7 separate regions of the Mus musculus genome follow, and all the other regions are reported to be linked to region 2. The links are microRNA targets in miRTarBase. Many come from high-throughput screens and were not tested one by one. Region 2 holds a microRNA gene; each other region holds the end of a gene's coding sequence.
The links. The annotated mature microRNA mmu-miR-3064-5p reads UCUGGCUGUUGUGGUGUGCAAA and lies in region 2 at 1,264-1,285, opposite strand. An mRNA with a match to its seed (bases 2 to 7 or 8) in the 3' UTR can be bound and repressed. Matches are read on the target gene's strand: a 7mer-m8 pairs with bases 2 to 8, a 7mer-A1 pairs with bases 2 to 7 and ends in A, and an 8mer does both.

Region 1 (4,068 bases), not on the chromosome of region 2:
CTAGCACATATCAGGCGGTTCGTAATTGCCTGTAACTCCAGCTCCAGGGGACCTGATGTCCTCTTCTGGCCTCTGACATAGGAGTTAGATCATTAAGACAGGTACTGAGCTGAACAGACAGAGTATGTTCAAAGGTCCACATTCTTCTTCAAGGGTCTCTTTTACCTATATCCCATGTCTTCCCATAAATTGCTCCGGTTCAGCGAAAAGTCTGCCCATGATTTCCATGTGTGTCAAAGGAGAAAGACTCTGGGAAGGGGTAGGTAGGGTGCAGGGTATCAAGAAAGACAAGGCATGGGCTAGAGAGATGGCTCAGCGGGTAAGAGCACTGACTGCTCTTCCAAAGGTCCTGAGTTCAATTCCCTGAAACCACATGGTGGCTCACAACCATCTGTAATGGGATCTGATGCTCCCTTCTGGTGTGTCTGAGAGAATCACTGTACTTGCATACATAAAATAAACAAGTAAATCTTTAAAAGAAAGAAAGGGCCGGGCATGGTGGCACACACCTTTAATCCCAGCACTTGGGAGGCAGAGGCAGGCAGATTTCTGAGTTTGAGGCCAGCCTGGTCTACAGAGTGAGTTCTAGGACAGCCAGGGCTACACAGAGAAACCCTGTCTCAAAAAACCAAAAAAAAAAAAAAAAAAAAAAAAGAAAGACAGACAGACAGACAAGGCAGGGAACAGACTTCTGAGCCAGGCCAGAGTCCTACCTCATCTGGGGATTCCTATGCCTACACTCAGGGGGGTAACAGTCTTCCATGAAAACAGTATTTCCTGAAGACGGGAAGAAAGTCAGAGTGGACCCAAACGTGGGTTTAATACATGTAGACTCTTACCTTCAACTTCCCCAAGTGTGGTGGACTCATCACCCATGACACCACCTCGCAGGCCCGGCAAAGGTCCAAGAAGACCCTGGGAGACGACACACACCAAGTTCCTTCCCCTAGAATATGTTCTCAGTTTTGCTGATTTTTTTTTTAAAGATTTATTTATTTATTTTATGTGAGTACACTGTAGCTGTCTTCAGACACACACTAGAAGAGTACATTGGATCCCATTACAGATGGTTGTGAGCCACCATGTGGTTGCTGGCAATTAAACTCAGGACCTCTGGAAGAGCAGTCAGTGCTCTTAACTACTGAGCTATCTCTCCAGCCCTGCTGATTTCTCTAGTTATAATTTTAGTTTTGTGTTCAGGAGACCAGATCTCATATAACCCACGCTGGCTCCAAATTAGTTAAGTATGTGAGACTCCTGATGGGTCAGCCCCAGTCTCCTGTAGACCTGGCTAGCCCTGAACTCAGAGATCTGGCACAGGCCACCACGCCCAGATTGCTTTTTGTCCCAGGACTGGCAAACTGGGCACGCTAAGATTAAAATGCTGTATCTGTCGAGAGGCTCCTCGATGGGTCATGGTGCAGAAGGCAACAAGTGACCAGGTAGGAATCCAGGAGATAGAAGGAGGGAGGGAGGGAGAGGGGGGCGGGGAAGGGAGGGAGAATGGAACCATCCACCTTTACAGTTAGCTCCTCCACGCTGGGACTGGCTCAGCCTATTCATGAGGGCAGAGCACTCTGGACCTAATCACCCCTAAGAGTCTGCCCACCTCTGGGTCAGGGAGATGGATCAATGGGTAAAGATGCCTGCTGTCCAAGCCTGACCATCTAAGTTCAATCCTAGGGACTCGGTTGGGAAAGGAGAGAATGGACTCCTGAAAGTTGTCAGTCAACTACATGAGTGCACTAGTGCCTGTACGTGTACACACACACACACATCTTTTTCTTTTCTTTTCTTTTCTTTTCTTTTCTTTTCTTTTCTTTTCTTTTCTCTTCTTTTTTAAAGGTCCCATCTAGGTTGGGCATGGTGGCACAAGCCTTTAATACCTGCACTCAGGGGAGAGGCAGGCAGATCTCTAAGTTCAAGTCTAAACCTAGTCTAAATAGTGAATTCCAGACTAGCCAAGGGTATACAGTGAGACTGTCTTCTTTTTTTTTTTTTTTAAAGTGGCTAGGTGGTGGTGGTGGTGGCACACGCCTTTAATTTCAGCTTGGGAGACAGAGGCAGGCAGATCTCTGAGTTCAGGGCTAGCCAGGTCTACAGATCAAGTTCCAGGATAACCAGGGCTAAACAGAAAAACCCTGTCTTGAAAAACAAAACAAAAAAATAAAAATAAGATAAATAAATAAAAACAAAAACGTCCCACCCCGCAGCAGTGTGACAACACACACACTATAGAAATATCACAAAAGAAAACATCTTTGGCATTAGTAACTTTATCTTATGCTTTTGGGAATCTGCTACTTAATTTATAGGGGTCTTACCATGCAACCCAGAAGAGTGTCACACTCATGATTCATCTGTCTTTGCCACCATTCCTTTGGGGCAACAGGTATGTACTTGGCTTAGTTTTTTTTTTTTTTCTTGTTCCTAATACAGATTTTGGGGTGGGGGTGGGGAAAACAAAAGAAGACATCTACCAACCTTATTTTAGCTAGTAAGGGGGGAAGGGATAATTTTCTTGAATTAGATAATAAAGATGTGTATCAGTGGTATCACAGCCGCGTAGGGTTCATAAGGCCCTAGGTTCAATCCGCAGTAATGAAACAGACGAACAAAAGATAAAGACAGAGGATCCCAAGAGACGGTGGTCTTGGCACTGGCCACACCCGCTGTCTCCAGGCCATTGGGTGGACAGGAGGGACACAGATTGAGTGGAAAAGCACAGCAGGTATAGGGCACGAGTGTGCCTCAAACCCTAGAGGACAAGTGTAGAGATGCTATAAAAAAGATCACTCTAGGGGCTGGAGAGAGAGCAGTCCCTGCTCCTGAGTTCAATTCCCAGCACCCGCATGATGGCTCACAACCATCTGTCCTGGGATCTGATGCCCTCTTCTGGTGTGTCTGAAGACAGCTACAGTGTACAGTGTAATATAATAAATAAATAAATCTTTGGGCCAGAGCAAGCAGGACCAGAGAGAAAAGAAAAAAAAAAGTTTCTGAAGACAGCTACAGTGTACTTACATATAATAAATAAATAAAAATCTTTAAATAAAAAAATCAGTCTATTGTAGAAGAAAAACCATATTTTTAATATTTATTCTTTTTTAAAAAGTTATAAATTTTAAATGGTTATTAAAGTTTTTTTTAAAAGGCTATCATTGTGAAATGTCACCAGTTTTCTTTTTCTTTCTTTTTTTTTTTTTTTTCGAGACAGGGTTTCTCTGTATAGCCCTGGCTGTCCTGGAACTCACTCTGTAGACCAGGCTGGCTTCGAACTCAGAAATCCGCCTGCCTCTGCCTCCCAAGTGCTGGGATTAAAGGCGTGCGCCGCCGCCCGGCATCACCAGTTCTTGAGTCCGATAGTTTTCTCACCCTGGCCCTTCACGTCTTACAGTTCATTCCGTTTTTCAGCAGCAAACGTCATCTGAAGTAAGAAGTCATGGGAGCAGCGCTGGGGAGACTCAGTGTTCCCTGTAGCGCCACCCGTGGGCAGGGCTAGAGGCTGCTAGGGCTCCTGTGTAGGACCTCAGGTGAATCTGTGGCTCCTTCCCGGCTCATCGGGCTTCCTTGTCTGTGGGCACCGCAGGCCCCGGAGCTCCGCTGCTCAGATGAACCTGCATGCTTGCCTTCATTCCAGTTTGATTCTAGTCAGCTCCCAGCTTCCTCCTCCGTGGAGTCTCAGAACCCAGGAGTGAAACTGCAAGAGCCCAGGACCCCACTGAGGTCAGACAGCTGCCAGAGCAGTCACCCCAATCCCTCTGCTACCTGACACCCCCAGGCCCAGCCTTTGGGTTCTTTCTCCTCAGCAGGCCACCCCTGTGGCCTGGGTACCTTCTCAAGGCTGGGACGATGTCCCACGCTGATAAATGTCATCCCCAGTTGCTGACCAATTCGGTAGAGCTCACTCTCTGCTTCCTCTGTCAGGGCACTGGTGGCTTCATCGAGCACTGACGAGCAGCATGTGGTGGCGAGAGATCACAGACTGCCCTTGCCCTCTCTGTCACTCCTCCAACCCATTCACCCTGGGATGTGGTGGACTGACAGGAGAGTCACGCCAAGATAGAG
Region 2 (4,068 bases):
CCCCCCAAAAACACTATCTAAGCCAAGTTGTACATGACATTATATATGTAAAATAAAGTACAATTTCACTTAATTCAGTCTTCAAATATCTTTTATTGGAAGGCCATGCATTGCCTTCATTTATTGTATTTGAAATCACTGTACAGTTACTTTTGTGAAAACACTGCCTGCATTTTCTAGTACAAAAAAAACCTAAAAATTGTTTCAGGAATGTAGAGAAATATCCAACTTAAATAGCGAAAAAAGTGCACCATAATTACTGCTGCACTGCAGTCATTTCTGCATTTCCCATGTTTCTTAAATAACTATCTTGTCTGATAACACACAATATAAAGAGCAATTATGAAAAACAGACATTTACATATACTTCTAAAGTCTTATTGAGAATACCCTGTTGGCATGGGATAGCCAATCATAGGCGCAGCAGCTGCGGTAGCAGGATATGCATATGCCTGTTGGTTCATACCATTGTGCATATTTGCAACATTACTTCCATATTGCTGAGTGCTATCATAACCGTTCTGGTAAGTCCCTGTTGGATTACCAGTCCTAAAACTGGTCTGTATGCCAGCAGATACAAAATTACTTCCAAAGCTCCCATTGGTGTAATTTGCAGCACTGTAAACACCATTCTGAGTTTTAGCCCCAAAATCTCTCTTAAGCAGATTAGAGTAGCCTCTGTCATAGTTTTCCCTGTCTCTAAAGGTATTAAATCCACCCCTTTTGCCTGCAGAGTATCTGTCACGACGATCGTCCTTCATGCCTCCTCTACCCCTGGAACGACCTGTCAAGAAAGTAAGTGGAAATTGATCAATTTTTATCTGTGGCATAAGTGTGGTAAGATAGGAGAGAGTTAGATAGCTCTATTTATGTTGGGTCTTAAGTGCTTTTAGATTCTTTAGGTTTCAAAATAAGAAGTACTCATTCTTCCGATCCCACTTTGTAGACAAGAGGTAACTGCCACCTACCAGAAACATCTCTTACGAAGATCCTTACCTGAACCTCTGTCTTCGACCAACTGAAGCAACTTGGGATTAATTGCTTGATTAGCTTCCCGAAGCACAGAGATAAGGTCGCTCACTTGCTTTATGTTATTAGGTGTAAAGAAAGTGTATGCTGTGCCTGTTTTGGTACTGCGAGCAGTTCTTCCAATTCGATGAATATAATCCTCTGAGGAGTTAGGGTAGTCATAATTGATGACAAATTTCACATCTTCCACATCTGTAAGGTGTTGCAGTGTGGCAAAATAGCAATGTACGGAGTTTTGCACACCACAACAGCCAGACCAAAAATAAAAAGTTAGACAATTGTATTCCCAAGAAGGTACGGGCTGAAAAAAATACAGTTAAAATGGTTATCCATTTCCTGTAGGAACACCATTGAGGTAGGAAAAAAGGGCAGGGTAGGAAAAAAAAAAAACCAAAACACCCAAAAAACAACAAAAAAATTTGCACATGTCAGCTGTCTTAACACCCACCCACTGACAGCCTATCAAGGGAATGTGTGTTCTCCTTAGCACATTCCCAAATTGACAGTCCCCTTACAGATCATCAAGTGACATCTGAATGCTTCTGCGCAGTAGGGCCAATTAAAAGTTTCTCAGCAATCTCTTCATGTGCTCATTTTTGAGGACCTTTTAACAAAAATGTAAAGGTCCTTTGCATTACACTCATCAGAAGTTCAAAACTCTGGCCACACTGCTTGTCTTGCCAAGACCTTACAACTGCAGCTGCAAGAAAAACATACCTGTCCCCCAAAAGTTGTTTTAATGCACTGTGTCTCGTCTAGGCAAGCGCTTCCAAGAAGCCAGGATTCACTTGAGAATGTGTCTCTCTCTGGCAGGTCTCGACATGACGACTACTGTGTAGGTGAGGGAGGAACTTTCAAGGCACTTTCTTTTCCCACTGACTATGTGTGAGAAGTTGGTCCTGCTCTAGGTCTCATGTGCCAGTACTCACCAATTTGTAAAAGGCTTTTAAAGCTGCTCTCTCCATTTCAAACTTGAACAAAAATTTCATTGAACATTGAAGTTTGGAAATATTTCTTCGACATTTCAGCAAACTCACTGAAACTCAAAGACCCACAGATCACAGTGAACAGTTTGAAACAATGCTGTACCATGGCAATCATGCAAAGCATGGGACAGATGAAATACCACGGCAGTGAACTGTGAGGTAACTTCCATTTTTTTCCCCCGGAGAGAACAGTTTATGGGGCAGAGGTGGTATGTTCTGCCCTTTGAAGATTACTGGCACACTTTCAGCTTTTCACCTCTCTAATCGACTGGAAGCAGCCAGCCGATCACTAGTCCTCCATCCCCCTCGAGTCCTCCGATTGTCATGCCTAGGCCTTGCCACAAAGACTGCACCTTTATGTGAAAAAAACTTAGAAAAAATGCAGGTTAAAGAAAGCAATAAACTTTCTTTAAAAAAAACTACATGGAGATCTTCTGGGAAACCAAGCCATGAATTCGAGTTTGTACTAACCTAGCCCTCTGGAGGCCACATCGGTAGCAATCAGAATAGGAGCTTTTCCATGTTTGAATTCTATAAAGACAACCATGAATAATCATTAATGCAAGCAAATGATGTTATCAAGCTACAAACTAATCTTATTTGAAATACATACCATTTAGAACCCAGTCACGTTCCTGCTGACTCTTGTCACCATGGATGCCCATGGCAGGCCACCTATACCAAGAATTAAATTATCAGTAGTATACCCAACTTAAAACTCTTGTCAAGACTCTACCAATATCTATTCCCACTGTACTTCATCTTGGCCAAGTGTTTTCCCACTAAGCATTGCAACCCAGAGCCTACTACAAGTCACTGGAACGAATCCATACAATTACCCCTATATCACAGCGCATGATTCCCAAAAAACACTAGCCCCAGATCAAAGTACTTTTAAGTCTGCTTTGACTCAGGAAACCACATACCCATCTCTCCTCATTTTTCTGGTAAGTTCATCACATCTTCTTTTGGTTTCAACAAAAACAATAGTTTTATTCTCCTTCTCACTCATGATTTCTTCCATCAGACGAATAAGCCTAAAGATGAAGAAAAACTCACCATTTTTAAAAGGATATAAAAACAAAACCAAACACAACCCTGATTTTTTGCTTAGTGAATCCAAATGTCAAACCCACTAAGCCACCACACATACAGATTTTCAGGTGTATCACTTTATGCGTGCTTGTGTAGTGACTAGGTTCAAAAACTATGAGTGTTTTCCTCATGCAAGCCAAGCAAGTTCTTCATATCACACCAAGCCATATCACCAACAAATGGACTTTTAAAAGAACATATAGCACACTACCTTAATTTTATTTTGAGACAATTTTCAGAATTGATTACTCTTAGTTTATGTAAGATTTTTCTCAATTTGTAAAAATGTAAACTCACTTTTCATCCTTTTCGACATCATGACATACATCCACAATCTGAAGAATGTTATGGTTTGCACTCAGTTCCAGTGCACCAATATTGATATGAATATAGTCTTTCAGGAAATCTTCAGCAAGCTGTCTTACTTCTTTTGGCCAAGTTGCACTCCACATTAGTGTTTGCCTATCAGGCTGAAGATTTAAGGAAGCAAGTTACACTTCAATCTTAAGAGCATTCCTAGAACTGATTTTTATGATAACATAAAGATACTTACTCTTATTTGATCCACAATTTTCCTTATCTGGGGTTCAAATCCCATATCAAGCATCCTATCAGCTTCATCAAGGACAAGGTAAGTTGTTCTTCTCAGATTGGTTTTCCCACACTCTAAAAAGTCAATCAGTCTTCCAGGTGTTGCAATACAGATTTCCACACCTTTAATTAAATAAATAAAAAGGAGTAGATGCTTTAACTATAATACACAAAACCATCATCTCCATCAGTGACAAAGATCCCCCTTTATGGTCACACACCTCTTTCCAAATCACGAATCTGTGGTCCTTTGGGAGCACCACCATAGATGCAAGTAGACTTCAAGCGACAAGCTCGACAATATTCAGCAGCCACTTGCTGCACCTGCTGTGCCAGTTCTCGAGTTGGTGCCAGCACCAAGCACTAA
Region 3 (4,065 bases), not on the chromosome of region 2:
TGACAGTGGACTACATATAATAAATAAATCTTGAAAGAAAAAGGAAGGAAGGAAGGAAGGAAGGAACATCCCTCCATGACCTCTGCATCAGCTCCTGCTTCCTGATCTGCTTGAGTTCCAGTCCTGACTTCCTTGGGTGATGAACAGCAATGTGGAAGTGTAAGCTGAATAAACCCTTTCCTCGCCAACTTGGTCATGATGCTTTGTGCAGGGCTTCTTGGTTCTTATTATTTAGCCATTCATAAAAAGAGCACAATACAGGCGCTCGGTCAGTGACGCATGCCAAGCATGAGGGGACAGTCTCATCATCCGTTTAAAGGCCCAGTGCTGACTGCCTGTGACCCAGTGCTGGTGTGTGTGTGTGTATGCTGCTTCTGCTGTGTGTGTATTGCTGGTGTGTATGTGTATTGCTGGTGTATGTGTGTATGCTGCTGCTGTGTGTATTGCTGATGTGTATGTTTGACAGGAAGATGCCTGAATCTATGCTAGCTGCATCTGAAAAAAAAAAAGTGGTTTCAATTGCCCAGTATGCAGAGTGTGACAGATCTTGGAGTCTCCATCAAATTCCTCCCCTCAGGGCTCCGGAAACTGCTGAAGAGGAGGCAGAAAGAGTGTAAAAGCCAGGGGGGATGAATGACACCTAAGACTGTCCTCCAGACACAACAGGACTGACACACACATTTGCTCACAGGCCGTGGCAGCTTTCGTGGGCTTTGCACAGATCCAAGCCCACAGGTCCCAGTGCCGAGATGAGGAAGTAGATTCCAGCTCCTATCCCCAACCAAAGAAAAAAATCTGTTTCTCCAAGGGAGCCTCATTGGGTAAACAAACCCCACTTACAGGTAGGCCCCACACTCAGCAGCAGATGGCTAACAGACATCTCAAAACAGGGATGTTTTGAGATCTCATACTGCTTTGTTTGGGTCCCCTGCCCCCTTACTAGTCTTGTGTGTGTGTGTGTTTCTCATTTGTATGTTTCTCCTACTTTCTGAAAAGTATCCCCCCCCCATTTTATTCATTTTTTTAAATCCTTGTTCGTCTTTTCTATTTGCTTGCTTGTTTTCTTAAGAAAGATATGAAATTGGAAGGGCAGGGGGATGGGAGGATCTGGGAGGAGATGAGGGAGGGGAAACTCATCAGAATAAACTGTATGAAAGTAACTATTTTCATTCAAAACTAAAATTATTTTAAAAATATAAGATTGATGGGATGGATCACTGGGTAAGAGGACTTGCTGCAGAGCCCGACAACGTGAGAGCAACCCCTAGGGCAGAACAGACTCGAAATCTGTCCTTAGCTCCACGCATGCTCTGCCTTCCCAAGGAGAACATAAGGAAAAAAATCCAATTAGGTGGAGAGCAACTGAGGAAACCAACCACTCCGCACCAACCCCCAGCCTCTCCATTGCAGGCACACACACACACACACACACACACACATTCATACCACATATTAAAACCTTGGCATGTGTGCAAACGGGTTGTCAAGCATTCATATGAAAGGTGATTATAACAGCCGAGGAGGTGTAAAAGCTTCACCAACGTCACGGGGGCCTAGGAGCCTGGAGCCCAAGCCTCTAGCCAGACGAAGGTAGGAAGAGTGGCTGAATACCGTATGTGACCCTCTGAGGGGCCAGGGCAGCCCCTGCCATCTGAGTGGGCACTTGGCTTTGTCTGGTGCTCAACAAGAAGAGGGCAGTGTGTCTTCAAACACCTCTGCCCTTGTTCAAGCTGGCATGGCTTCATCAACTTTCTGTGCAGTGCTGGTGGAGCCATGTACCCTGTGACTGAAGGATGCCAAGGTTCTGGGCTGCAGAGATGGCTCAGTGGTTAGGATCACTAGGAGTTCTTCCTGAGGACCTGGGTTCAATTCCCAGCACATGGGGGCTCACAAGCTTGCGACTCCAGTTCCAGTGGGTCTGAGGCTCTCTGACCTCTGCATGCAAAACATGCGCATGGCGCGCTGACATGCATGCAGGCAAAAACACTCACTGAATAAAGCAAAAGGCTAATTTTTTTTTTAAGTCACTAATGACACTGTCCTTCCTGCCCTCACAGGAACAGATAGCACTCCCTGAACACATCTGTCCAGGCCCAGCTCGGGGAGGGAGTTTGGCCCGGGCCCAACAGGCCTAGTGGTAACAAGTAAAGCTCTCCCTGAACGTGAATCCGGACACGAGGCCCACGTGGGCTTTAGTAACCCCGTGGCCTCGATAGGTGCACCCCACTTAGCCGCACACCTCAGCCGGAGCCTAAATTCAACTTTTCCTGAGGGAACTCCAGCCCCAATACAGAGCCCAGAAACAAAGTGAAGGATGGAGTTGTGGGTGGGGCCAAAGGCGTGCGCATCAATAAACTGGTGCGGTGGCGCCATCTGGTGGCCATGTGCTGTCAGTGCCTGAGTAGTTCTGAAGAACTATCTGTCCAGGGCTCAGGAAAATTGCAAAAATTCTCAGCAGGCAGGAGCCTGCACCCTTGAGCACCATGAAACCTGGAAGCCTCTGTGCAGAACCACTGGAGCACATAAAAGTCCTCCAAGTCTAGCCTTCCATATCCTTAAGTTAGGAAGCAGCATAATTAGGCAAACACCACCTGCATGTGGACCCAGAAGACACCGCGCCCTCATGAATACACCTTGAGTTTTATTTAGCTTTTAAAATGTCTTATGTGACCAAGGCATGGCGTGCGTTCTGAGAGTTGGTTCTTGCTTTCCAGCTCGTTCTTCCACTGCTGTAGCAAGCCTTTGAGCTTTGAACTGCTGTCTTCACAGCTACATACACACCATGGTACGCAGCCTTACACATGAGATCCAGGGGTCAACCCTGGGTCATCAGGGGCATCTAGCAAGGCCTTTTATGTGCTGAGTCATCTTCTAGGCCCAATTTCTTTTGTAGCCCAGGCTGCATTTCAAGTTGTTACCTAGCCAAGGCTGACCTTGAACTTCTGACCTTTCTCGAACTTCACTCCACCTGCTGAGTGCTGGGATTGCAGTGTGCACCCCATGCCTGGGGTTACACTCAGGATTAAACTCAGGGCTTTGTGAGTTTCAGCTCCAGAGCATGTCATTTCTGTCACATCAAGGACACAGGAGCCAATCAGGGGACCCAGGTATTTCCCTCAACAGAGGGCAGGGTGGGAAGGCAGCAGCCCAGGCTCCCTGGCTCTCCAAGTCCAAGGAAGGCAGAGAGAGGGGCCTGGGCTGTACACAGCACTGGAAGATTTACTTGGTGGCAGGCACAATGGCTCAGTAGGTAAAGGCGCTTGTCACTGAGCCAGGCAACCAGCCAAGACCCACATGGCTGAGGAGAGAACCGAGTAGCAAAAGCTGTCTCCTGATCTCGTGTGCACTGTGGTGTGTGCAAGCACATACATGTAATATTAAAGAATTCTCTTTTGGTTTTTTGAGACAGGGTTTCTCTGTGTAGTCCTGGCTGTCCTGGAACTCACTCTGTAGACCAGGCTGGCCTTGAACTCAGAAATCCACCTGCCTCTACCTCCTGAGTGCTGAGATGAAAGGCATGTGCCACCACTGCTCAGCATAAATAATTCTTTAGTTTATTTTTCCTGCACTGCTCCCTGCCCCCAAATCCAGAAATGAGTAACAGCAGCAAGCAGACCAGGCCATTTCTGCTCGGCCTAGGAAGTAACACTCAGTCACCTACCGGCTGCTCAAGGCTGACTGGCCAGCCACAGAGACAAGGTGAGATGACTCATCCCCAGGGGCTGGTGATCCCATCCTGACAGTCATGTCCACCATGCCTCACGAGTCACCCACGCCTGCAGCTCAGCTCCAATACTGCTGACTGCCCAGGCTCTCACGCTGTAGCTACTGTTCAGGTGGTGACTGTCCCTTCAACCTGGCAGGAGGCCAGCCTCCTTCTCCACCAGCCGGCTGACCGTGCGCAGAGCCAGAGGCAGGGCCACGTTGGTGTCCCGGTGGTAGCGGGGCTGGCACACGCCTGCAGGAGGTGTGAACACAAACTGGGCCACACTGGGCATCTTTAGTAAGGTTAGCAGCTCTGAGGCCCGGGTCCGGATGGATTCCGCACCCTCTTCACTGTGCACA
Region 4 (4,068 bases), not on the chromosome of region 2:
GGGCCCAGGCTTGGAAACGTGTGCATGCCACAGTGTGCAGGGGGTGGAGTCAGAGGACAGGTTCCAAGAATTGTTTCCTTCTAATGTATCTCTTTGTACTATTTGGGTCTCAGATATCAAACTCAAGTCATTGGACTTGGCAGCAAGCCCCTTTTCCTGCTGAGCCATTTCATTGGCCCTCAACTGTGGTTTTTTTTTTTCCCCTGAGAGAAATGTTACCTTAATGTGTCTCACATATTTCATGAATATAAAATTTAAACTTTTTGATGCAGGGTCTCATGTGGCCCAGGTTGGTTTCAAATTCACTACGTAGTCTAGTGGCCTTGAACCTCATGTTGTGCCTCCTAAGTGCTAGAACTACAGGGGCGAGTGACCATACCTGGTTTATGCAGCGTTGGGAATGGAACTTGGACTCCATGCATGCTAGTAGGCACACTTCTGACTGTACTCCAGCCCCAGCCTGAGTGGAGCCTTCTCATCCACTGCCTACGCAGGCCAGCCTGCTATCTGTACCTCTTTAAGAAAGAGACTGTGAGCCTCAAAGGTTCAGTGAGCCAGATAAATGGCCTTTCCATGACTGGTCTCTGGCAAGAAAACCATGCTTTAGGCTGGAACAATTTAAAGTGTTTATTACATGCTACTGGAGTATATTGGCTTTTAATGTCCACATATAAGATGACATACAGGCAATTTAAAATAACATACACAGTACTGACATATTTATACTTAGAACTTACACAAATATTTACAAACATACAAATATAGGACAATGTTTACAAAAACTTATTAATTACATGTTTATAACACTTCAGAAATAAAATCTGCTGTAAACCATCTCACTGCAATGAAAAAGGCTTCTAAATAACCAAGTTTTCCTTCATTTCTACAACCATCTAAGTACTTAGTTCTTAAAAGTCCATCAGACTCGTCAGCATACCACATTATTAGTCACTGCTGACTAGAGGCAAAGAAACAGCAGGCTCCTTCATTAGTTGCAAGGATGTATTTACAGAGCTGCTGGATTGGAAGCCACCCACTGCTCTGCCTTTTCTAGTCTGTTCTAGGCAGATAGGAAAGTTCCTCTGGAAAGTTCATCAGACCTGCTCATTACAGGGGAATCCTGGTCAGAGTGCCTGGCAGCCTGCAGACTGCTGACATAACATCTCTGCAGGTGGCAGGGCAGAGCCAGGCAGACACTTGGCTCATCTACCTTACCATTGGCAAGGTAGCCATTGCTGGTCAGGGGACTATGACATGGCTAACTTTATCTTTATTTCCCGCTGGGGTCTAGCAAGGTTAAATATCCAAATGAGTTGTCCTTTCCAATTTGGAAACCTGTAAGAAGCCACAGGGCCCAACAGAAGCACTGACCTGCTGTGTGCTGACTCACACTGCGCAACTGTATCCTAACCCTTCAGAGTTGCATTAGTTTGGTAAGTGCATTAAGTAAGGTCTCAGGAAAGCCGCAGTGTTAAAATGTCCTCCTCCTCTTTCTGAGGGAGGGTCTCACTATGGAGCCCTGGCTGTCCTGGAACTCAATATGTGAATAAGATCTGTCTCCTCTGTCACTCAAAAGCTGGGAGTAAAAGCATGTGCCACCCTGCTCGGTAATGTCAACTTTTAGGAACTCTTGTAGCCATTCCAAGTGTTGTATTATGTAATGTCTTCTGGGCCCATTTTCTGTACAATTAAATATGGAATTTAGAAATGATGCTGAGGTTTAATGCTGCCTAGAGGAAGCAAATCTGCGGTCCAGCAGCACAGCTGGTCATAGGCAAGCTCTGGCTGCCACTCTGCGGTCTGCTGGTGAACGGGCTAGGCTCTGAGCTCTGGTTCTACTCTTCTGTGAGGACTACGATGCTCTAGGTTAGACTTACTTTTTCTCGAGAGCTCTAGTCGCCTGAGTTACAGGCATGAGCCACCGTGCCTGGCTGCTGTTACATGCTTTGAAACTTGAATAAAAGTGGCAGCGTTCTAATGAATACTTTTCTGCACGAACAAGGAGAAATATTATTTTGACTAGATATTCAAAATGATTTGGTTCAAAGTCACTTTCAGAGGAAGAATATATATTTTTAATACTTACTTTTATTCATGAGTGTTTTACCTTCATGTATAAATGTAGACCATGCATGTGCCTGGTACCTGCAGAAGCCAGTAGAGTGCAGTGGACCCTTGGGGTTACAAGCAGTTGTGAACCGACTTGTGGGTGTTGGAAACTGAACCCTGACCTGCCAGAGCAGTAAGTGCTCTTACCTACTGAGCCAGCTCTCCAGCCAAAGTCTAATACAGCCCAGTGGGCGGTGGCTTGCATCGCCTGGTGTGGGCTTCAAATCCTGATCCTCCAGCTTCCACTTTTGGGATGTTGGGAATCCCAGGCCACGCGTCTCTCTGAACCTTTTTTCAGGTGATGCTGGGGATGGAACCCTGGTCCAGTCTTAAAGTTACTTTTAGGTGCTGTGCAGGGTAATACTATTCTGAAATGCAAGCCTTGGGAAGAAACCCACAAAAGTTAACAACTATAGGGAAAACCCTATAGAACAAACAGCTTTATGTAATTACTGTATTTGGGTTCTAACTGCAGCAAACACCAAAGATACAACAACTAAAGAGTCCAAACTCTGGGGCAGAGAAGGCTCTGTGCTGTGTTTAAATGAAGGCTCCTCCGCTGTGCTGGAGCCCTTGGACCTTCTGTTCTCTGCTCACAGTGGAGGGTCTTAGGGAGGGGACAGGTGAAAGACAGGAAGCTGTTCTCGGTGCTTTCTTGTAGCTATGGAAACTGGCTGTTACCTGCATGGACTGTAAGAACCGTCTTTCCTTCAGTCCTCTCAGCTTTGTGTTCAGTCCCAGGAGCAGGAGCCGAGTCTGCTGTGCCTGGTCCAGGAGCCTGGGATCAGAACGCAGGGTTCACCAAGGCAAATGCAAACATTGCTGGGCAGTGCATGCTACACTTCAGAGCTTACAACTGTGTGTGGAGTGTGTCTGTTCAGGAAACAGCAGGGTGAGCAAGGAACCACTGTCTAGAAAAAGATGGGGTGGTGGTGGGCAAGCCTGGGGAAGGGCCTGGGTACTGGCCTTAGTTACCTGTTATACTGAGCAGAACCTAGGGCTTCTCCATGGTTTTGCTCTCTTTGACAGAAAAGTCCAAGTCATCATAATACAGCTTTTGATTGAAATGTGGTTGAAAATGCAGTAGGGGTGGTGCCCTCAAACCACAGAACTGTGTGCCTTCAAACAGTGGTCTCCACTGCCTGAGAAAAACAATGTCTGTAGAAATGCAGGTTCTCCGGCCACATCCCAACCTTTGATGCAAATCTGGATTTCACAAATGCTCCAGAGAATGAAGTCCAGTTGTGGAAACCATTGAGCTGTAGACACCTGGGAACTGGCAGAGATAATATGTCTGTCCTCTAAGAGAGCTTACCATCCAACTATGAAAATACTGGCTCTGGCATGGAAAGCGAGCCTGCTCCCTATGAAGAAAGCACAGCCAGCTTAGTCTTCCATGATAGGTCTTCAGTAATCCAAGTTCCACTTAAAAAAACTGTGTCTTCATTAAAAACGAAAAATAGTGGAAACGGGTTTAATCTCCCCTAAAATGGAGAAAAGGAACACAATATTCCTGGCAGGAATCATGAAGACAGTGCTTCTAGGAACACACCGGGCTCGCCCTGAGCAGGCAGTGCCAGCAATCAAGTCTTCCTGCTCCTTGTTTTGGCTGTGCCATCATGGTGCCAACATGCAGGGCCCTGGGAGTCCTCAGACAGCAGAGAGCTGTGGCTGCTGCTGCTGCGGCTGCTGCGGTGGCGGCTGCTTGGGTGGGGCAAGCTCCAGGAGGGCCTGGACTGTCACTGCAACCTGGCCCAACCCTTTCTCTTCTAAAATGTGCAGAGGCAAGCACAATTGCTCCTGAAAGGGGACAATGTGACATAAAACAAACAAACAAAAAGAAAACAGGATGAACATCACAGAACTGAAGAACACAGGTCCTTCCACCCCCACCCCATAATAATCAAGTGAGTTATGGAAAGTCCCTGGTAAACCCACCCTGCTGAAGGAGGCAGACGT
Region 5 (4,068 bases), not on the chromosome of region 2:
CTTAAGCTTAGATATTCTGGAGGCTGAGGAAGCCAAGATCCAAGAGTCCCACCCCTAAAAACTGCCAGCCAAGAATCCCGTTCCTGGCATAGCTGTTCTTTAAAATTGAAGAGAGGATAAAGGCTTTCTCAAATAGAAGACAAGGGAGCCATCCTAACATCCCCACCACAGGCAGTTCTTCAAGCCGACACTAGAAACAAGGAAAGACACAAAAGCATAAAACTCCCAGGGAAAGGAACTAAGTCCAGATCCAACGAGAACGCTACTGGATGGGATGCAAACCTTCCAACCATTTACTTCCACTTTAAAGGTTTAAAGACAACACCATTAAAATGATAATCACAACCATGAGTTATTAGGTGCACAGTATACAAACAAGTTAAGCATGGTGTTTAAAATACAAAATGTCGGAGGAAGAGCAAGTTTTCATATGTGCGCCCAGCTTTTAAAACAGCCTGCGGTATCACTGGACTCCTGAGGCTCACTGCAATCACAACTCCAAACCTCCACTAGACAGACAGGAGACTCCACCAAAGAACATCACCGCGCATACAAGGGGCCAAGAGGGACATCCACAGCCACGTGGAAGTGAGTCCTCACCTACCCGTAACAGGAGACATTTTAGAGATGTGCAAAAAATGTGTAAATACTATGCTCCTGAACAACTAATGAGCCATACGGGGGCTTAAGAAAATTAAATTCCATACAAAAAAAAATTAAAGTTATTAACATGTCTGCGCTAACACCATGATCTGCAGATGCCGTGCAATCCTAGGAAATTCCCAATGCTGTATTTTCCCAAAAAGCAAAAGCTTCCTTACTATGTACACAGATCCACAAGATTCCCAACAGCCAAAGATATGCCAAGAAGGAAAACAAAACTGAAATTATTACCGTTATCAAGCTTCAAAATATATTACAAAGACACAGCAATGAAAACAGCATTCTGCTAACCTAAGAAGAGATGCAGAACCCAATGGGAAACAACAGAGGCCGCAGAAGTAGACCTACACCGGCGTGGCTAGGACTTGACAAGGAAGCCAAGACACCCAGTGAATGGAGAAGAGCTGTCTTCAATAAATGCTGTTGGAAAAACTGGATGTCCACATGCAAAGGAACGAAGCTGGACCCTTATCTCACACTATATGAAAAGCAACTCAAAACAGATTGAAGACTTAAGCATAAGACCTCACTCCAAGAAAGGATTAGATAAATGCAAGAAATGCTATGGCGCTATTTATAGTTACGTCTTCAGCAACGAAAAGGAAAACGGGCCCACCAGACTGCTTCCAAATAAAAGTTTTCTAGCCGTGTAAATAGTCAAGGGTTAAGACTGACTACAAAATAGGAGAAAATAGTTGATAAATACTTACTATCTAGGATAGGTGGTATTAAAATTCAACAACAAAATGAAATAACTCAATTAAAAATGGGCAATGGACTTGAACAGACGTTTTTCAAAACAAGTCACAAAAGTGATTGATACATACATGAAAATATACTCAACATCACTAATCATCAGGGAGTTGCATATAAAACCATAGTTAAAACCATATCAAAAAAAATCAAGGTTTGCACTGTTGAGAGTACGGGAGAGGGGATGCACACACAGTAGGAGGTCATATACAGGTACATGTAACAGGAAAACAGTATGGAGCCCTCCAGAAAGTCACAAAGGCCACTCTTATGACCCAGGAATTCCACTTCTAGGTATGCACCCAAAGGCATCAAGCCAGTCTGTTGAGGAACACCTGCAGCATCATTCATCTCAGTGCTACTCACAAAGCTAGGGTAGCGTCTGCCCGGTTGTCTACCCACGGCTGAATCAGTAAAGACAACAAAGGGCACACGCCTGTACACACAGATACACTACTTGTGGCAACAGGGATGAACTTTATGGACATTGTGTTAAATGAAAAAGGCCATGCACAAAAGGAAGACAACAGCACAATCTCACTATGTCTAAATGTTCACGGCAGTAGTTACGGGGGCGGAGAGGACGTCATAGCTAAGGAGGCAGTGAAGGGTCAGCTATGAAATGAATGGAGAAAATAGTACAAGCCATACGTGAAAACATGGAAGAACGTGGGATTTCATTCAGGAGGAAGAAGCAGTACAGCACAGAGATTGCTGTTGAAATCTATACATCCTATATTCTTCGAAAAATATATTCTTGGAAGTATTCTCACCACAAGAAGTAAGAATGTGAGGCTCAATTCAGCCACTCCATGATGTTTACATAGTAAAAAATCATGTACGAAGTAAATACAATTTTTACTTTTTAGTTAAAAAAAAAAAGAGAGAGACACAGTCTAGCGGTGGTGGCGCACACCTTTAATCCAGCACTTGGGAGGCAGAGGCAGGTGGATTTCTGAGTTCAAGGCCAGCCTGGCTGACAGAGTGAGTTCCAGGACAGCCAGGGCTATACAGAGAAACCCTGTCTCGAAAAAAACCAAACAACAACAGCAACAACAACATCAACAACAAAAAAGAAGAAAGAAAGAAAGAAAAAAAGAAAAAGAAAAGAAGGAAAGAAAAGATAAAACGTTAAGAGAGACAAAGCAACCCCTCCCCCAGCGGAATGTTTACTCCATCACAGGCACTGGGTGGTCTGGACAAGGCTCAGGGTTTGGGTCACTCACAGCTCAGTTCTCAGTTCTGGTTCTTACTCAGGCATTTTGCTACAGCAGCCTGAGCAGAATAAGGCACACCCTAAAATAATTCCAGTTATGAAGATCAGTGAAGAGATTTTAGGGCACCAAGAAGTTGCGATATGCTCTTTGCTGCTGCTGTGACCAAGACAGAAGGTGCTTTCTTGTCCTTTGCGCTGACACTAGCTGCTCACACGCTGGCTCCACAGTGTTCCCTCTGTGCCCGCAGCTCAGACGCAGGGGTACAAACAGCAGACTCGAAGGACTCGAAGGACTTCCGGGGCTCTCAGTGTCGCGACATTCCCCCGACAGAACTCAACTCCAAAGCCAACACGTTTTCATGAAAATATATTTAATCTTATTCAAATTAGAAATCCCGTATCTCTCCCCAGTTATTTTCAAACAAAGGACCCCTGTCAACAATCGTTGAAAATGGTAAGAGGCAATCTCATGTTGATTGAAAGGTAGATAATCAAACACTTTTGACGGGTGACCTATCTACAAGGACTTGTTCACTTCAAAGGAAGGGATCCCATCGCTGCTATGAATCTGAAGTGTGAAGAAGGTCTATGCTATGTCAGTTAACACTGGTGTAATACACGGAGGACTGGGCTCTCCAGGGAAGGGTGTCACCGAGCAGAGACAAACACAGAACAACAGAAAGGGTAGGAGCCACTTCTGAGAATACTGGCTAGTGCTGAGCTCAAGATTAGTCAGAGGGAAAAAAATCAATGTCCGTGACTTTAAAGAGAAGCGAGTTCTCTTTGGTACTACGGACCTTCCCGTGATTCTAGAATCCAGATTACAGAAAGGGATAAAAAGATGAACAAATCACAAAACTAGAGACTCCTGGCTCTGTGCCTCCAGGAATGGCAGTGCCCACTTGCTCATCCTGCCAGCACCCTCATCAGAAGTAGATGTGGCTGCTCTGCCAGGCCTCCACCAGTGGGGGCCTGGTTCCTCATTGGGTCTAGCACCAAGTGCGGGTCTCCTGAGAGGTCAGCACCTACTGGGCCATCTTTCGGATCATGTAGTTCAGGATGCCTCCATTGTGGAAGTACGTGAGCTCCACATCAGTGTCGAACCTCATCACGGCCTGGAAGGTCTTCCCAGTGTCCAGCTGCAAGAGCAAAGAGGCAGAGCGCTGCTGAAGGCGGGGCTGAACCGAGACTCCCACCTCAGGGAGACTCCGCCTGGCTTGGCTGCCCACTGGCCTCAGTTGGGGCGTGGTATATGCCCACAGTGCCAGCAGCGGATGGAACCAGTGGTCTCTGCACCCAACAAGAACCCTGGGAATTTATGTGCCCACCAGAGGTTGAGGAGCATTGCAGAATTAATGACACAGGTGTAGCACATGAGAACAAAGTGTCCTCTCAGGGCAGCAGCTATGAGTGACACTGTGACGCTTTGCCCTAAG
Region 6 (4,059 bases), not on the chromosome of region 2:
ACACAAGAGTAAGAAATGAACAAAGATGCTCTAACCTTACTATGGAAAGCTATGCTTGTCTTCTAAACATGGGGCTTACCATTAGCAGTTAGAATTGATGTGTTTTCACATGTTTCTTTTGACTTTTGGTACTGTATCTAAAAGGCATTGCTAAGACTGGTTGTCAAAAAGCTTTTGAGGTTTTCTGTTTTAATCTACTAAAATTTGATAACTTCAACTGTATTTTCCTATACTTCTAATCTTTACAGTTTTTTTAAATTGTAATTTTTATAATAACCTCTGCCAAGGAGCTTTGGTTACTGTTGCACAAAATACAAATATAGGTGCTAAAAACATGCCCATTTCGAAAGCAGGGGTCTTAAAAGGTAGGCTAAATATCTGAATTAATAGAAATAAGTAGAAATAAGCAGTAACCGATTCCACTGAATCCTAAAGTGAGGTGTTTAGGATCGAGTCAGGAAGACTTAACTTAAACATGTGAGTGCGTGAAAGGCAATTTCTGGTTAACTTTCTGAGTTATTGTCTACTAATTCTGTTTCCTAAGCAGATGCCACATGTGACCTGCCTTGTTCTGGTGAAGAGCCGTCGGTAGAACATGCTGAGGGACATTCTGTGGCATGCAACGGACATTGCAAGTTCCCATTTTCATCCAGAGCCTTTCTGAGTTTCAAGTTTGACCAAAATGCTATAATGAAAATCTTGGACCTTTGAGCCAGCAAGAGTATTGCAGAAGTCCCTCGATCTGAGACCTGTTGCGTGTGAGTGGCTGTCTCCTCAAGCCTTACCTTTCTCAGGTATCTGAAAGAAGTGCAGGGAGGCCATGTTTCTAAAGAGATGTTCTGTACAGACGAGAAACTAGAAAGAAACACAAGTTTGCACTGTAAATGCATTTAGAACTTTTTATATGGATTTACCATTTCAGTGTTTGGAACCAAGTTTTAGTTGCCTGTGTTTTTTTTTGTCTCTCCCTTATTTTTGTGTGACTGTGTTTTGTTTTATATTCTCATCAAGAGTTGTTTTGATTGCATCATCAGCAAGTAGCCATGTCAATAGGAGTGTTTCACCTCCCCATCTTAGTGATTGCAAAAAGCTTGCTTATTGAAAACTTAAAGGAACTTAAAACCCCAGTTACCAATGTACTGGGCATCAGAGCTGAACCGTGAGGTGAGGATGCAGGCGTTTACTCATCTCTGCCTCTAACCACTGAGAGTCTAACCTTCCAACTGGAGCTGCACAGTGAACCTCGAGCACTTCATCAGGACCACATCCACAGCCTGGAGAGAGATGGAGTCAGTGGGGAGCTGATGCTGTGGATATTGAGCTCTGATGTTTGCTGTCAAAAACCTGTGAGTGCTGGAGCAGAGAGCATGGAAGCAATAGCTGACAGTTACTCCAGGTCATGCCTTGACTCTCCTGCCTCCGTCCGTTCAGTATTGTGTCGTGATTATGCCTGTGTGAAACGTCTATGCGTATTCTAGTTGTGAGTCTGTGTGGAAAACTTCATTCTTAGTTCTATATTGCATCTCAACGTTGATCTGTGTAAGCTGGTATTATGTTAGGTTCCAGTTTGCAGTAATACTAGACTGACATGCTTTTCATTAATATCTTGAAGCCCCTGAGTTACAACGTGAGAAAGAAGGGGATCTGCAGTTTACCAGTAAGTCCAGCATGTCACTAGGGGACCGACCCTTGAAGTAATGTACTTAGATCACACGTAGGAATGTATTTTGTATTTTGCTCCTTCAGAATTCTTAAACCAAACACGGGTGACAGTGCCCACTTTGCAGAGATCGCCTGTTGTTGAGGACAATCACCAGAGCTTTAAGGAGGCAATATGATGTTGGCTGCCCCTGACCTCGCTGAGAATCTCTTCTGGGGTGGACTGTGCTGTTAGAGTGCATGTGTACACGTGCGTCTGTCGTGTGCGGTTTTAACAAGTGGTATCCACAAAGTATATCTCTGCTTATAAATAGTACTATAGAAATCTCTATGCTGTATATGTAGCCTATTTAACTGGGGGTTCTGCCTAACCCCATGGGACTTAAAAGGAAGGGCTATTATTGTAAGGAATTCACTTGGTATTACTACTTTGCTTTAGCTTTTAAATGACTGATTTTAAAGAAGAAATTATATTTATTCATGAAAGTGTCACTCGGTGCTAAGCAGGAGACTTCACAGTGATACAGTATGTTTGGAATCTTCTATGCGACTACTTTGTGAATCCTTCTGTGACCTTTGCTTTTTAATGCATTATATGATTGTGTTTGGAAGCCCTTACTGTTCTTGTCAGAAATACAGCTGCTTTGCTTGGGTCTTCTTGAGCCATATTTATAATTGGTCCCAGCATTCCAGATTTCTGTTAAATGGTTAAGGGAGTGAAAACTGAAGCTTGCCTGGCAGTGAGCCACTGTCACTCCCTGACTGTCACCAAGAAACCATTGTGTGTGTGTGTGTGTGAGAGAGAGAGAGAGAGAGAGAGAGAGAGAGAGAGAGAGAGATATTCTTCTTAAGTGAGCACTTCAGTCAGTCCCTGGTGCCTGTAGAGGTTGGATTCTCAGCTCTCCATACTAGAGCAAAATCAACTAGCTAGCACAAGGTCCATGGCCCTTAAAGTGGTTGACTGTAAGAACCAACCAGTGATGTGCTGCTTCATTTAATGCACTGTGGAACAAAGCAAGGGCATGGTTGGGGTGCATTTACAATAACTTTAGGCTTTAGGTCTCTCAACAGGCTGAAATGTTGAGAGAGTAAGGTTTGTATGTGTGATGTGACTCAACTATGCAGAAAATGTTAAGTTGGTGTTCTTGTTAATGTAAGTCCAGCGTACACACTTCTTCACTGTACAGTTTAGCTGGGAGACCATATTTAGCACAGGACGGGATTTCTTCTCTGAGCTATGTTAGCGTTTCTTCATAGGATCTAGTGATGAGGACTCTGAATATGCAGTAATGTGCTTCTGTGTAGTGCCGCATTTAGAGACAGACTCTAGAGGGAACAGTAGATACGTCGGCCTTATTATTATTTGTGTTTGAGAGGTGAGACTTTAAAATCGCTTTTAAACATCCTTAGGATCCAACTGCATGTGTTCCGAGGTGCAGTGCACTGTGAATCTTTTTAAGTCTAAGTTTGTAGGTGCTTTTATGTGTAACTTAAGTGGTTGGAAGAATGTTTAATAACTTTGTCCTCAACCATTGTACTCAAAGAGACAAAGGATACAGTTTACATACTTTCTGTAAGATTTTGTTAAGAAATAGTGAATGAATGACTCTAGGATTTCAAACAGAGATTCCATCCTGAGACATGAGCACTTGGAGGGGCTGGAAAACCCAATAGATCGGATAGCTTGGAAAACTTGGTGAGCCATGTTGAAAGAGCTAACTAGATTTCTGTACCAATATGTGAAAGATAGTTGCCCAGAACTGTCAGAGGGATTGTGGTCACTGCTTGCTGCTTTGACCTTTGAATATCATTATTTTTATATTAAATACTAATTAGTAATTAGCTATATAGCAGATTAATATTATGCTGTAAGACTTGGCTAGGCTTTTTTTGGGAGGCTTTAATAATTTACATGTAATGTCAATAAAAATACAAATCTAAGAGAATGGCCACAGGAATCAGATTCCTTTATAAAATACTGTGTTTTCTAAAAATGTCAAGGACTGGCACCTGTGTGCATTAAAAAACATTTCATTACCAAATTCCTTACCAGTCCTGTTTCTCTAGCATTAGTTCAACAGTAAGGAGAGAGTGGGACCTCGAAATGATAACTGGCTGGACAGGTTTTATTCCCATAATGCCTCTTGGCCTTTGCTGTGTCTATGCGTGCCATGTTGGAGATTTTAATGACAGCTGTTGTGTCCATGTTCTCTGAGGCAGTATTTTCTTTGTATTATTATTCATGGTTGTATTCATTAATACTTCTTCTGTTTTTGAGTTGGGTTATTGTGTATTATTATTATTGAGAAAAGAGGTTCAAACGTGTTATAACTAGAATTGACCATCAGCAAAGGACACCACTCCCAGGTCTAATGGTATTCTTCACCTTTGTGTATGTAG
Region 7 (4,068 bases), not on the chromosome of region 2:
GTTTCAGAGACCTAGGAAAGGAGGAAAATGGATTAAGACGTGGGAGGCTTCCAGGAGAAAGCTACTGTCATCTTTTTCAAGATCTGCCTCACATACTTTCTTTCAAATATATAGCTGTATGTAATTCTTGATGAAAGGTACACATACAAAAAAGATTAGCTCTGCATCTATCATTTCATTTTAATAAGGAAGTGGGAAAGCAAAGCTTTTTTGCTGATATTCAGTTGTCAGTAAGTAGATATTACTGAAAAGTTCTCTGTATAGGTTAGTATCATTCTGAACTTCCTGATTCCCCAGTGTTTTATTTATGCATTTGAAAACACAGACTTTGCACGTGCATGGAACTAGATCATATGGGAGCTTTTGTTTTGGTGTACAATAATAATCCTAAGAAATGTTACACCGGACAGTGGTAGCGCACGCCTTTAATCCCAGCACTTGGGAGGTAGAGGCAGGTGGATTTTTGAGTTCGAGGCCAGTCTGGTCTACAGAGTGAGTTCCAGGACAGCCAGAGCTACACAGAGAAACCCTGTCTCTAAAAACCAAAAAAATAAAATAAAATAAAGAAAAGAAAAGAAATGTTATGAACTTTCTGTTGGCGCCTCATCCTTCTTACATTACCTTTATGTAGTAGTAAAACATCCTCACCTGCATGGATTTTATTAGTGGCATTCTCGGAAATGTACTTTCTGACTTCTGTAGCTGTTTATTAAATCATTTTTTCCAAACAGGAAATGATGGATGTCAAGCACTTCATTGATAAGCTCCTACCTCCAATTGATTGACATCACTAAGAGGCCTTGAGTAGAAGTTCACCAGCATCACAGTAGTAGAGTATAAACCTCTTCCCATGACTGACCATAGAACTTCTAATGTGTGCAGTGTTAAAATGTTTTGCAAATACATACCAATGATACAGACTAAATGATGTTACCCTCATGGGAAATATATGATCCTTTTAAGTGTCTATGCATATATTTGTATTATACAATTCAGAATATACTAAGTATTACAGTAGGTAAGTGAAGCAACTAGATTCTTTGTCTCAAATTCAGCAAAATAAGATAACAAACAGTTTTATTACATCATTTGAAAATTACTAGTATGTTCTGTGAAGATGTGTTCAGGTAAGATGTAAGTGACTTCTTAGTTCTGTGAGTTAGACTATAGTTTTACTCCACAATTGTTCAGTCTCCATGCAGTGTCTGTATTTTTCTGTTTGTATTCACATAGATGATACTATAATAGCTAAGAATCAGATGGTATTACATTATCCCTAATAATGGGGATAATGCTTTTGAGTGTCAAAAAGTAATACTGCATTCTTCAATTAATGGCCCTTCTATTGGGAGACCAGGCTTTTTTTCCCTTCTATGTAATTTTTCTCAAGAAAAAACAAGGTTCTTTTTTGATTTTCCGTAGAAAACTAATATTGCCTCTCTGTCATATATTTTATTTTGACATTTTGAGATACAGACATAGCCGGGCGTGGTGGTGCATGCCTTTAATCCCAGCACTCGGGAGGCAGAGGCAGGCGGATCTCTGTCAATAGCCTGGTCCACAGAGTGAGTTCCAGGACAGCCAGGGCTACACAGAGAAACCCTGTCTCGGAAACAAACAAACAAACAAACCGAAACACAGACATACAGTATTTCCAACCTAGGTAATATGAAAAGAAATCAAACATTACTTAAGTTTATATATTTCAAATAACTGCACCTTAGTCCAACTTTAGACTGTAGAGTTATAGACTCTCCAGTCCTGGTAATAAATCTGTGGTTTTATTTTTCTGTAAAACACTTAAAGGGGAAGTAATATCTTGGCATATTTAGAAATACTTGTGACTGGCTTCAAAATATAATTTCTTAAATATCTTATAGCCGATTTTAAGTTTACATTTTCTGTACATGTTATGCTTAAAACCAAATACTGTTCAAGATGAGCAATCAGACTTATGTTTTATTTTTATCTGGGTAACATATTATTTTGAAATTTTCATCTTAAGTAAAGGAGCTTTTGATAATCAGTCTCCTGTACAAATATTAAAATAATAATTTGATTTTAAATCATCAGCATGTTCAAAATACTGGTGAAAATTATTTAATATAAGGACTGGTTAGAACATTATATATATATCCCATATTTATAACTGTTACCACACAGTTGAATATGTTGCAAAAATTATGGTTATTTCTGAACGGTTGCTTTTCTTGCTGTTTTCCAACCAACCAAGAAGCACCTTTATAAACAGGTGCTAATTGATATGAAGATCATTTTGGTATGTCCTAGATAGAATGAAGCCAAATGTCTGGATTTAAAACAATTTCAAACAATCATTTACTATTTTGCTTTACTTTAAAGAACATAAATTTACTTCAGTTATTCTATCTGTAAAGATTTATTTGGTATAAGAAATATTCCATTGACTGTGTGCTGTAATGTGGGAAAATGTCATGTTTTTCACAGTTTCTATCAATGTGAAATAAAATTTAATTTTGGCTTTATCGATTGCTTTATATAGTACTGTTTCTTTTTTCTTTTCTTTTTTATAGATAGGATCTGTACTGGCTAGTTTTGTGTCAACTTGATACACCTGGGGTTATCACAGAGAAAGGAGCTTCAGTTGAGGAAATGCCTCCATGAGATCCAGCTGTAAGGCATTTTCTCAATTAGTGATCAAGGGGGAAAGGCCCCTTGTGGGTGGGACCATATCTGGGCTGGTAATCTTGGTTCTATAAGAGAGCAGGCTGAGCAAGCCAGGGGAAGCAAGCCAGTAAAGAACATCCCTCCATGGCCTCTGCATTAGCTCCTGCTCCCTGACCTGCTTGAGTTCCAGTCCTGACTTCCTTGGTGATAAACAGCAGTGTGGAAGTGTAAGCTTAATAAACCCTTTCCTCCCCAACTTGCTTCCTGGTCATGATGCTTGTGCAGGAATAGAAACCCTGATTAAGACAGGATCTTACTGCATGCCCCTGCTGGCCTGGAACTTGCCTAAGTTACCTCTTCTAAGTTGCCTTGGGCATGGTGATGTATCACAGCAACAGAGAAGTAACTAATCATGCTGGCCCACAACTCACAGGCTTGCCTGCCTTTGTCTCCCAAGTGCTGATATTATAGATGGGTGTTTCCATGGCCTGATGTTTTTCCAAGTTTTGTTTTTTTTTTGTTTTGTTTTGTTTTTTTTTGAGGCAAAGTCTTCCTTATAGCTAGCCCAATCTTGCCTTGAAAGCCTCAATCCTCCTGCCTCTTCCTCCCTAGTCCTGAAATAATAGTTGTATACCAGCACAGCCAGTGTCAAGTCGTAACATTTGGGCTTACTTTGGAATGATCTTCTATATTGAAAGAAGGATATAATAATACAATCATGAGAAAATGCATTGGGAGAGAAAATTTGGTGTGATATGATTACCTTGGAATGGAACTAGCCATGAGAAGAAAAAAGTATTTTAACTTAATTTTAATCTGCTAAAAAATTCATAACCTATTTAAAAATTCTTAAACTATTGAGAAACTTTATTGGGTGTTTTCATCTTTAATGTAGTTATCACTAGGAATTTTAAATAACTACCATATGTCAGTTATCCAAATATTTTTTCTCTTACATATTTTATTAAGTTCTAACTTTTACCACTACAGGGGTTTATTCTTTTGTGTCAAAAAGTGTTTCTGGCCGGGCATGGTGGCGCACGCCTTTAATCCCAGCACTCGGGAGGCAGGGGAAGGCGGATTTCTGACTTTGAGGCCAGCCTGGTCTACATAGTGAGTTCCAGGACAGCCAGGGCTACACAGAGAAACCCTGCCTCGAAAAACCAAAAAAAAAAAAAAAAATGTGTTTCTGTTTCTGGTTTTAAATACTTGAAGTTGACAGCTTACCCTTTTGTGATTCTGCCTGTCTGGTTTTGATATAGGTAGGAGACTTTGTGATGGTTTGAAGAAGAACTGTCCCCCAGAGGTTCCATCCCTAGTTGCTGGTGCTATCTGAAGGTTACATCGAGGGGCAGGCTAGCCGCAAGAAGTACATCACTGTGGTCAGGCCATGAGAGTTCACAGCCTTGCTCCACTCCCAGT

Region 1: miRTarBase lists Abcd4 as a target of mmu-miR-3064-5p. Seed matches in the 3' UTR shown: 7mer-m8 at 3,235-3,241.
Region 3: the mRNA of Ap5z1 is a reported target of mmu-miR-3064-5p. Seed matches in the 3' UTR shown: 7mer-m8 at 3,427-3,433.
Region 4: miRTarBase lists Lrch3 as a target of mmu-miR-3064-5p. Seed matches in the 3' UTR shown: 7mer-m8 at 2,780-2,786, 7mer-m8 at 1,928-1,934, 8mer at 1,781-1,788 and 7mer-m8 at 1,520-1,526.
Region 5: the mRNA of Aco1 is a reported target of mmu-miR-3064-5p. Seed matches in the 3' UTR shown: 7mer-m8 at 2,389-2,395.
Region 6: miRTarBase lists Dcp2 as a target of mmu-miR-3064-5p. The part of its 3' UTR that is shown has no 7-base or 8-base seed match.
Region 7: miRTarBase lists Lypla1 as a target of mmu-miR-3064-5p. Seed matches in the 3' UTR shown: 7mer-m8 at 1,579-1,585.

The regions. Positions count from the first base shown.
Region 1 is chr12:84,599,460-84,603,527 of GRCm38, forward strand. It overlaps Abcd4 (ATP-binding cassette, sub-family D (ALD), member 4), which reads right to left. Exons shown (of 19, transcript NM_008992.2): 18 at 3,835-3,950; 19 at 3,072-3,700. The coding sequence ends at 3,632. Among named protein-coding and RNA genes, the nearest start is that of Abcd4, 16 kb to the right of the region's middle.
Region 2 is chr11:106,781,473-106,785,540 of GRCm38, forward strand. It overlaps Mir3064 (microRNA 3064), which reads right to left and starts at 1,287; the gene lies at 1,221-1,287. It overlaps Ddx5 (DEAD box helicase 5), which reads right to left. Exons shown (of 13, transcript NM_007840.3): 6 at 3,923-4,064; 7 at 3,664-3,824; 8 at 3,408-3,580; 9 at 2,942-3,052; 10 at 2,629-2,690; 11 at 2,487-2,546; 12 at 997-1,221; 13 at 1-784. The coding sequence ends at 378.
Region 3 is chr5:142,477,273-142,481,337 of GRCm38, reverse strand. It overlaps Ap5z1 (adaptor-related protein complex 5, zeta 1 subunit), which reads right to left. Exons shown (of 17, transcript NM_172725.2): 17 at 2,623-4,065. The coding sequence ends at 3,852. Among named protein-coding and RNA genes, the nearest start is that of Ap5z1, 15 kb to the right of the region's middle.
Region 4 is chr16:33,012,182-33,016,249 of GRCm38, reverse strand. It overlaps Lrch3 (leucine-rich repeats and calponin homology (CH) domain containing 3), which reads right to left. Exons shown (of 21, transcript NM_001081255.1): 21 at 221-3,909. The coding sequence ends at 3,760. It overlaps Iqcg (IQ motif containing G), which reads left to right. Exons shown (of 11, transcript NM_178378.3): 11 at 1-1,980. Among named protein-coding and RNA genes, the nearest start is that of Iqcg, 42 kb to the left of the region's middle.
Region 5 is chr4:40,197,257-40,201,324 of GRCm38, reverse strand. It overlaps Aco1 (aconitase 1), which reads right to left. Exons shown (of 21, transcript NM_007386.2): 21 at 2,316-3,771. The coding sequence ends at 3,658. Among named protein-coding and RNA genes, the nearest start is that of Ddx58, 41 kb to the left of the region's middle.
Region 6 is chr18:44,417,019-44,421,077 of GRCm38, forward strand. Dcp2 (decapping mRNA 2) reads left to right here. Exons shown (of 11, transcript NM_027490.1): 11 at 548-4,059. The coding sequence ends at 711. Among named protein-coding and RNA genes, the nearest start is that of Dcp2, 39 kb to the left of the region's middle.
Region 7 is chr1:4,844,232-4,848,299 of GRCm38, forward strand. Lypla1 (lysophospholipase 1) reads left to right here. Exons shown (of 9, transcript NM_008866.3): 9 at 732-2,504. The coding sequence ends at 785. Among named protein-coding and RNA genes, the nearest start is that of Tcea1, 11 kb to the right of the region's middle.